Linked DNA regions of Sus scrofa. The protein of the gene in region 2 interacts with the protein of the main gene of each other region in a biochemical or structural test. Links are inferred from orthologs where the notes say so. Each region holds a gene or a part of one and is shown on either strand. Other genes may lie near its edges.

Region 1 (3,896 bases), on a different chromosome or scaffold from region 2:
TGCCCCACGGTCTCGCCGCAGATCCCGCGCGAAACTGCCAGGCTCTCTGAGGAAGCGGCTGACGCCGGCCGCCCGCACCCCCTCCCCGCATCCCCTTTCCTCCGGCTTCTCCGGACTAGGAAAAGTGGAACCGGTTCCTCTTGGTGCCCGGAATCGCCTTTCATCAGATAGCCCTTTGCTAAGTTCCCGTCTGCACCTGAGGGTGGGACGCTGCTTCCCCTTACCCGGCTGACAGGAAAACCAGCCCGGAGTTCACTAACTTTGCGCTCCTCTGAGGGGGTATGCTGAGAACTCTGCGGAGTCTGACTGAAACGTGAGGAGACAAAGCCCGTCTAAACAGTGAACTCCGACGCCTCCACCCGCCTCGCAGCGCAGAGGCCTTCTTCACCGACTGCACGCCGGGTGGGTCCCACAGCTCGGCTCTTTCTCATGCCAGCATCCCGCGCCGGGAGGCTAGCGGCGCACGAGCCGCAGCACGAGCACTGGGCGCGAGGAAGACCACTATTTCTGCTCCAACACCCAGGTCCGAGGAAGTCTGAACGTCCTCAGTACAGCAACCCAGCGGGCCGCTCGGCCGCTGGGAGGCTGAAGAAACGTCCGCACTGGGCTCGCGGCCCTTCCTGCCAGCCTCCCCACTCCGGGCCTCGGCTCCCTCCTTTCCCGCTCCCGCCTCCTCTCGTAGGCTGCCAGGCGGACCCAGCCAGCCTCTTTCTCAGCCTTCACTACCGGGTCAAGCCGCGGAGGGAGGGAGCGGAGACAGCAGCGAAGCAGCTCCCCACCCGGCGCGCGCGCGCCCCTCCTCCCCCTCCAGCCCGCTCCCTCCCCCTCCTCTGCCCTCTGCCTCCTCCCCTGCTGCCAGTACATTACAACTAGTACGCGCGCACACATACACACGCACACGCGCGCGGACCCTGCCGCTGCCACTGCAGCTACCATGGATATCAGCTAACAACACACACTCAGGCGCGCGCGCGCGCGCTCCCACTCGCACCACGCAGGAGTGGCCCCCGGCATCCCTACCCTCCTTCCCCACCCCCACCCCACCCGCTCACCAGCTCGGCTACTGCTCGCACAGGCTGCCGTCGCCGTCGCTGCCGCCACCACCACCACCACCACCACCACAGCTCTTCTCCGCTGCGGGGCCACAGCCTTGAGTGTCATTCAAGGGACAGCACAACCTTACCCAAGCTCTCCTACCTCTGCCCAGCGGTCCCTGTCATCCTCCCCCTTCCTCGTCCACACTCCATCCAAAGAAGAGGGAAAGCACCGAACAGAGAGAGGAGCAAGGCAAAGTCTGCTCTTCTCACCTCTCGGCCCCCTGGCTCCTCCATCCTCATTCTCGCAGCACCAACTCCCCTATCCTAAAGGAAGCCCTCAGAGGCTGAGGCGACTCACCCCACTGCCATGTCCAAAAGCTTGAAAAAGAAAAGCCATTGGACTAGCAAAGTCCATGAGAGTGTCATTGGCAGGAACCCCGAGGGCCAGCTGGGCTTTGAATTGAAGGGGGGTGCCGAGAATGGACAGTTCCCCTACCTGGGAGAGGTGAAGCCCGGCAAGGTGGCCTATGAGAGCGGCAGCAAGTTGGTGTCGGAGGAACTGCTTCTGGAAGTGAACGAGACCCCCGTGGCGGGGCTCACCATCAGGGATGTGCTGGCCGTGATCAAACACTGCAAGGACCCCCTCCGGCTCAAGTGTGTCAAGCAAGGTGAGCGCAGCGGCTGGCTCTGTGCTTTGCCAGGAGGCTGGACCGCCCGAAGCGCGGGGCACAATAGAAGGGTGGGCTCGCGTGTGGAAGGGGGTGTGTTGCGCGACAGTAGGGTGAGGTCGTGAGTCCGGCAGAGCAAGTGAGCTTTGCCGGGGATCCGGGGGGGGAGGAGGGGGTCAGTGGAAGGGAGGGGCGGGTTGCGGTGTGGTGTGCAACTTTGTTTGCGCAGTTACCCCCCCTCCCCTTTGGAAGGTGTTCGGCCTTGTCTGAGCTCGGAGGTGCTGGCGAGCTCCTGGGACAATTGAATGTGCGTCAGCTGCACGGCTCGCAGTGGTTGTTGAGCTTTTAGGGAAGGAAGGACGGAAGGAAGGAGGAAAAGGCATGAGAGAGGAAGGAGCAAGTTGAAGGTGCAGTGGCATCATCAGCAGAGCCGGGAGGAGTAGGGGGTGGCGGGGCGAGTGGAGGACTGCGGGCTCCGTTTAGGGAGCTGGACCGAAGACGCCTCGGTCAGAAGCCCGGTCCCCTGGGGATTTCTGGGACGCTAGTTGACAGAGAAGAGAAAGGGCAGATTGCTTCGAGCGCTTTGACGGGTCTTCCTTAACTTTTTCTCTGCCTCACTCCTCTCTCCCCCCTCCCCCGCCCTCGGTCGCGTCATGTGGGCACCGCGCGTCACGTGCGCACTGACTAACCCGAGCGCTCACCCGGAGCTGGCCTGCGGGAGGTGGGTCCGGAGGGAGGCACCGCACTAGCTGCAAGTTCTAGTGTTGAGGGTCGGAGGGAGAGACGTGGTTACCGGAATGTTCTTTACAATGAAGTTGCCTTCTTTGAGTGGAAGTTCTCCTGGTTGGACTCTCCTCTTGCTTCCGATTGGGGGGAGGGGGGGCGTGTTTCTGAAGAGGAGCTGGAAAAGCCAGCTGGTTACAACTCAGACTCCTTCAGCTGCAGCCGGTTTAGACGAGCCTCAATTGAAAACTGCTGTTGGTGGGGACTTAAGGAAACTAGGATCTTGCAGAACTCTCACAGACTTTGCTCAAAAGCAAATTATAGTCCTGGAGGAGGAAAGAATGAGATAAAAATTTCTTGGAAAGAGGACAACTTCAGTTAAAGTAGCGTTATCTTTGTTTTCTACATGGGATTGCATACGTTTTGTAGTTCACATTCACATTTCATATGTGGCATGCATGTATATGTGCATATCACATCAATCTAAGGGTTTGTTATTGGTGATATGTTGTTTGTCCTGCCTTAAAGATGGAATTGAGTGGATCATTGCCTGCATTTTGAACAACTACTTAATTTTACTGCATGATTAACAATCAAGAAACATTCTTGGTTGAGAATGATAGGGAGATACTCTTCTCTGTAAAACCAGTTTTAGAAGTGAACCAGTGAAAAATGAAATTTCAGACAAACTTTCTTAAATGTAAATTGCCATTCAAAAATTTTTTTCTCTGGGGGAAAATATTAAGTATTAATAGCTGATGACGTATTAATATTGAGTATTAATAGCTGATGACTTGATAATAGCTAATGTGAACATTGACTTGTAGGTCAGCATAGCTCAATACCATATAAAACTGAAGAATATGAGTTTGATACTAAGGCAAATAGCATATCTTGATATTTTTCAAGATGACATCCCAGAGGCTCAAGTGTAGGCATTCATATTAACATATTTGATGTCATGATACTATCTTAGAGCAATAGGTATAAATGTAAAGTTTTGGTTTTGAGCCCAAAAATCTATAGCACAATTAATGATGTTGGTCTGGTTGGCAGCCTATTTGGTAGTGCAAAGTGGCTGCAAACTTCAACGCATTGTTAAATTGGGCTAATGATAGTATCCTAATAAGGGAGGTAATTCTATTATAGTTTGTAATTATGACCACATATTAATGTACTCATTCTAAACACTGCATTTTGAGATGGAGCTCTGCAAACTGTAACTCTAGCATCAAGAAAAGAAAAAAGAAAGGGAAATTTTTGGGGTATTGTCAATCTATATTCTATAAAATCCAGTGGAAAGACTCAGGTGAAGTTATGAAAACTATCATTAAATATTGAAAAGCTATCAGTAAGAAAAGGAATTCTGACTATCCCGTGACACTCTATAGGTAAAAACTAAGATGAATGTGTGGAAATTTTCAAAGGATGAAACATTTTTACCTTATTAAGAAGATTGTAATAGAGC
Region 2 (3,806 bases):
GGCTGGGGGCCTCCTTGGGAGTCAGGGGTCCCCCAGAGCAGTGCAGAGAAGGCAGGAAATTTTTTTTTTCTTTTTAGGGCCGCACCTGCATCATATGGAAGTTCCCAGACTAGGGGTAGAATCGGAGCTGCAGCTGCTGACCTACACCACAGCCACAGCAATGCAGGATCTGAGTGGCGCCTGCAACCTACACTGCAGCTCGCAGCAATGCCAGATACTTAACCCACTGAGCAAGGCCAGGGATTGAACCCACATCCTCATGGGCACTACGTTGGGTCCTTAACCAGCTGAGCCACAATGGGAACTCCAAGAAGTAACTTACTTCTCATTGTCATAGTACAGCTTCCCAATGGCCCAGGCCACGATGATGGGGAAAGGCACACCTGGGGGAGAGACCGGCTGTCACAGGACCCATCGGTGGGGTCTGGGGGATGCAGAGCCTGGAGGACCCCAGGGCAGCCCAGTGCCCAGAGGCGGCAGGCCCCCTCCCCCCCAGTACTCACCCAATACGGCTCCTTCTAATGTTCCCGCCATCCCCACCCTCAAGTAATGGCAGAGGGCTGTGTGCACACCCCACCACCCTAACCTGGCTTGGGTCTCAGGCCCCCAGCTGGCTGGCCTGAGTCTGGGCAAGAAGAGGATGGCTGGCCGGGGCAGGGGGTGGCCTGCTCACCCCAGCCAATGCAGATAAACATCCACTTGCGCAGCCGGTCTGTGGAATACGTGAGCACGATGGCCGTGTGCAGGTAGCAGCCCTCGCCGAACATCCAGAAGAAGTTGGTCACATGGAAATAGTTGTAGGCGGCTGTCACCAACCTGCACCAGCCCTGCCACCCACCCCCATCAGAGGTGACGATGAGCCAGGAGTGGGGCACAGAGTAGGGGGGCAGCAGCAGCCCACCTGGCCTGGGGGACCCCCTGCCCCTTGGAATCCTGTTCTGTGGGCTCCAAGGCCTGGCTCTGGCCCCTCCTCCTCCAGGACAGCCCCACCCAGACCCTCCCTCTGCCCCTGGGCCCGTCCCTCCTGGACACACCACGTTGCTCTGGTGGACTTCGGGGCTCATGGTGAGCTGGACCACGAACCACGTGGCGTTGCGCAGGATGAAGGCTGAGATGAGGTTCCAGTGGATGATGTTCCTCAGGCACCGGATGCTCCTGGGGGCAGCGAGGGAGGGTGGGTGACAGGAGGAAGGGGAGGAAAGCGAAGGAGAGAGCGAGGCCACCAGCTCGCTCCAGCCCAGGTGTATGGACAGGGAAACAGAGGCTCAGAGCAGCGTTGCCTGCCAAGTTCCACTGGGAGGTGGCAGCAGAGGCGCTCCTGCTGCCCCACTGGTCCCTTCCCAACTGTGGCGGATCCAGACCTAAGCTCCAGGGCAGAGCCTGCCACACAGCCAATGCCATGGGGACTAGGGGCTGCTTGCTGACCAGGGATGGCCCCTCTCCCCTGAGCTCCCCTCTCTCCCTGTAGCTCCAGGCTTGAGGGTCAGAAAACATGAAAGGCCTCCGGAGAGAGGCCTCCCTCCCAGCTCTCGGCCCTGGTGCTCAGGCCCTGCTCCCACCCCCCCACTCCCGGCACTGACCCGTCTGGTGCTGCCACCTGCATCCCTGGCAGTCATGCCAGTCCCAGGCAGGTTCCAACCCAAAGGGGGCTCCACCTTCCTGGTCTCCCAAATGGGGGCAGCCTGGCATGGGTGTGGGTGACACAAGGCCAGCCTAGGCTTTGGCTGTCCACCTCTCTGCTGCAATCACTGGGCAGGGGTACAGAAGCAGCCCTGCCAGAGGTTCCAAAGGACCTGGGACACCTATATCTGTCACCTCCTCCCACTGGGGTGAGGGGGCAGCTCTAGGCTGGGGACTCCCTTCCTGGCAGCCCCCTGCTTAGAACTGCCTCCTGCCTCTTCTCACCCCTGCTCAAGGCTCTGGGAGGTGGGATGGGGGACAGGGAGCAGGGACAGGGCTCCTCACCTCAGCCGCAGAAAGAGGACAAAGGCCACCAGGAGGGCCACCAGGGAGACACAGTGGCCCAGGTAGTTGATGATGACAGCCACATGGTAGTGCACCTTGCTCTTCTTCTGAGGCAGGAGAGAGGGCAGGCGTGAGGCTTCCGCATGGTTACAGCCCTATGCCCACTCGACAGTGAGGTCAGCCCCCCACAAGTGCCCCCAACAGTGTGGGCAACAACACCAAGAGCTCCCCCCTCCTGAGCCCCTACTAAGCGTCAGGCATTGCCCTAGAGCAGGGCAGTCCAGTTTGAGACTGTGTCTGTCTGCTCCTGAATCCCACGCTCTGCGCACTGCTCTGCACGGTTAGACAAGTATCAGTCAACTTGACTTAGCACATCACACAGGCTTCCTCCCTCCGCAGGCACAAACGTGCCGGCACGGCTCACAGACAGGCTCTCACAACTACATTTCCATTCGGTCTGGACACCAGGTGGCCCTTGTAGGGCAGACACAACCCTCTAGGACTTCTCCTCCCATCTCTGTGTTGAGCCACGATCTTCTTGATCACCCCTAAATCCTTCCTGCTGCGGTCGAAGGCTGTCCTACCAGTGAGGAGAGGGAAGGGCAGGTGCTATGGATCAACATCCACAGAATCATTAGAAACCATTAAAAAAAAAAACAAACAAAACCCAAACCCCAAAAACTCTCTAGGCTCCATAACTGGCTTCCCAGGTTCTACCTCTGGCCCAAGGGGTCTGCGCCAAGTCAATGGGGTCCTCTCTCAAGACTAAAACGAAGTCCCCAATGTTATGACTTAATTCCTTTCACATGCTGATGGAAGCTGGGAAACGCTACGGTCCCCCCTTTCCAATCAATGTTCGCTCGAGTGTTGAAGCCTTCACGTTTACAGAGTATTTTCATACCTGCTGTCTGCTCAAACCCTCAAGCAATGCCAGGGAAAGAGCTGGTAGGGGATCTGCACCTTGTTTTGCAGAAAAACAGGCCCAGAAGTACAAGGACTCATTCAAGATCATTATCACTCAACTTCAAACCACCTCTCACCTTCATGTGCAGGGTGGAAGATGCTGAGGCAGGAAACTGGTGGTCCCCAGTGCCCAGCTCTCACAGACTCCTGTCCCGAGACAGCAACAGGAGCTAGAGAGCCAGAGTATGGTGCAAGGTGGACCCGCCAACGGGTGGGGGGAAGGGAAAAACGGATGCTGGAAAGCAGCTGGTTTCCGGGGCGGAGGGGTGCGGTGGGGGGGCGTGTCTCTGTGAACCCCTCCCTCCCTTACCCTTTCCAGGTTCTGGGGTGGGGCCTGGGCATGACGGGGCACAGAAACTGGCTGAGAACAAGCCCAGCTCACAGACCTGTTCACCCTTTCAGACCCACCAGAGCTCCTGGCTCTCTGTGGACCCTCCTGTCAGAATTACAAAATCTGGGGACATCGGAGCTGGTCCCAAAGGATCTAGTCCAGCTCCACCCATCTTTCAGATGAGGAAACTGAGGCCCAGATTCACCCACCCGAGGACAAGGGATGTACTTCCATGGCGGGACAACCACCAGGCATCTGAGAAGGGGCGAGGTGCTCCCTGCCTCCAGCCCCTGGCACACCCCTTCTGAAGGGGTGTCCTCACCGAAGAAGCCCTAAGGTCCCAAAGGCCCAGGCAGCTCTTCTAGGGGTGGGTTTTCCTGGAAGAGGCTTTCAGGAACATGACAAAATCACATTAGCAGCTCAGGCTCTGAAGGGCTGAGACCCAGCAAGGTGTAAATGGAGGCAGTCGGGAGAGAGGCGGGCGTTGGGGCGGGGGGCAGAGTATCCGCTGTGTCCTATAAATCAGGGTGGGGGGATCTTTGAGCCC

Evidence for each region.
Region 1: the proteins of CRHR1 (region 2) and MAGI2 form a complex in vitro, tested with the Homo sapiens proteins (2 studies listed by BioGRID and IntAct, with this or other methods). The link is inferred for Sus scrofa from reciprocal best matches to the Homo sapiens genes CRHR1 and MAGI2.

The regions. Positions count from the first base shown.
Region 1 is NC_010451.4:100,845,808-100,849,703, forward strand, and holds the start of MAGI2 (membrane-associated guanylate kinase, WW and PDZ domain-containing protein 2), read left to right. Parts: upstream 1-885; 5' UTR 886-1,404; coding exon 1,405-1,705; exon of another isoform or gene 1,706-2,057; intron 2,058-2,394; exon of another isoform or gene 2,395-2,558; intron 2,559-3,896. UniProt on the Homo sapiens protein: Seems to act as a scaffold molecule at synaptic junctions by assembling neurotransmitter receptors and cell adhesion proteins. Plays a role in nerve growth factor (NGF)-induced recruitment of RAPGEF2 to late endosomes and neurite outgrowth.
Region 2 is NC_010454.4:17,257,766-17,261,571, forward strand, and holds part of CRHR1 (corticotropin-releasing factor receptor 1), read right to left. Parts: intron 2,073-3,806; coding exon 1,966-2,072; intron 1,156-1,965; coding exon 674-1,155; intron 384-673; coding exon 323-383; intron 1-322.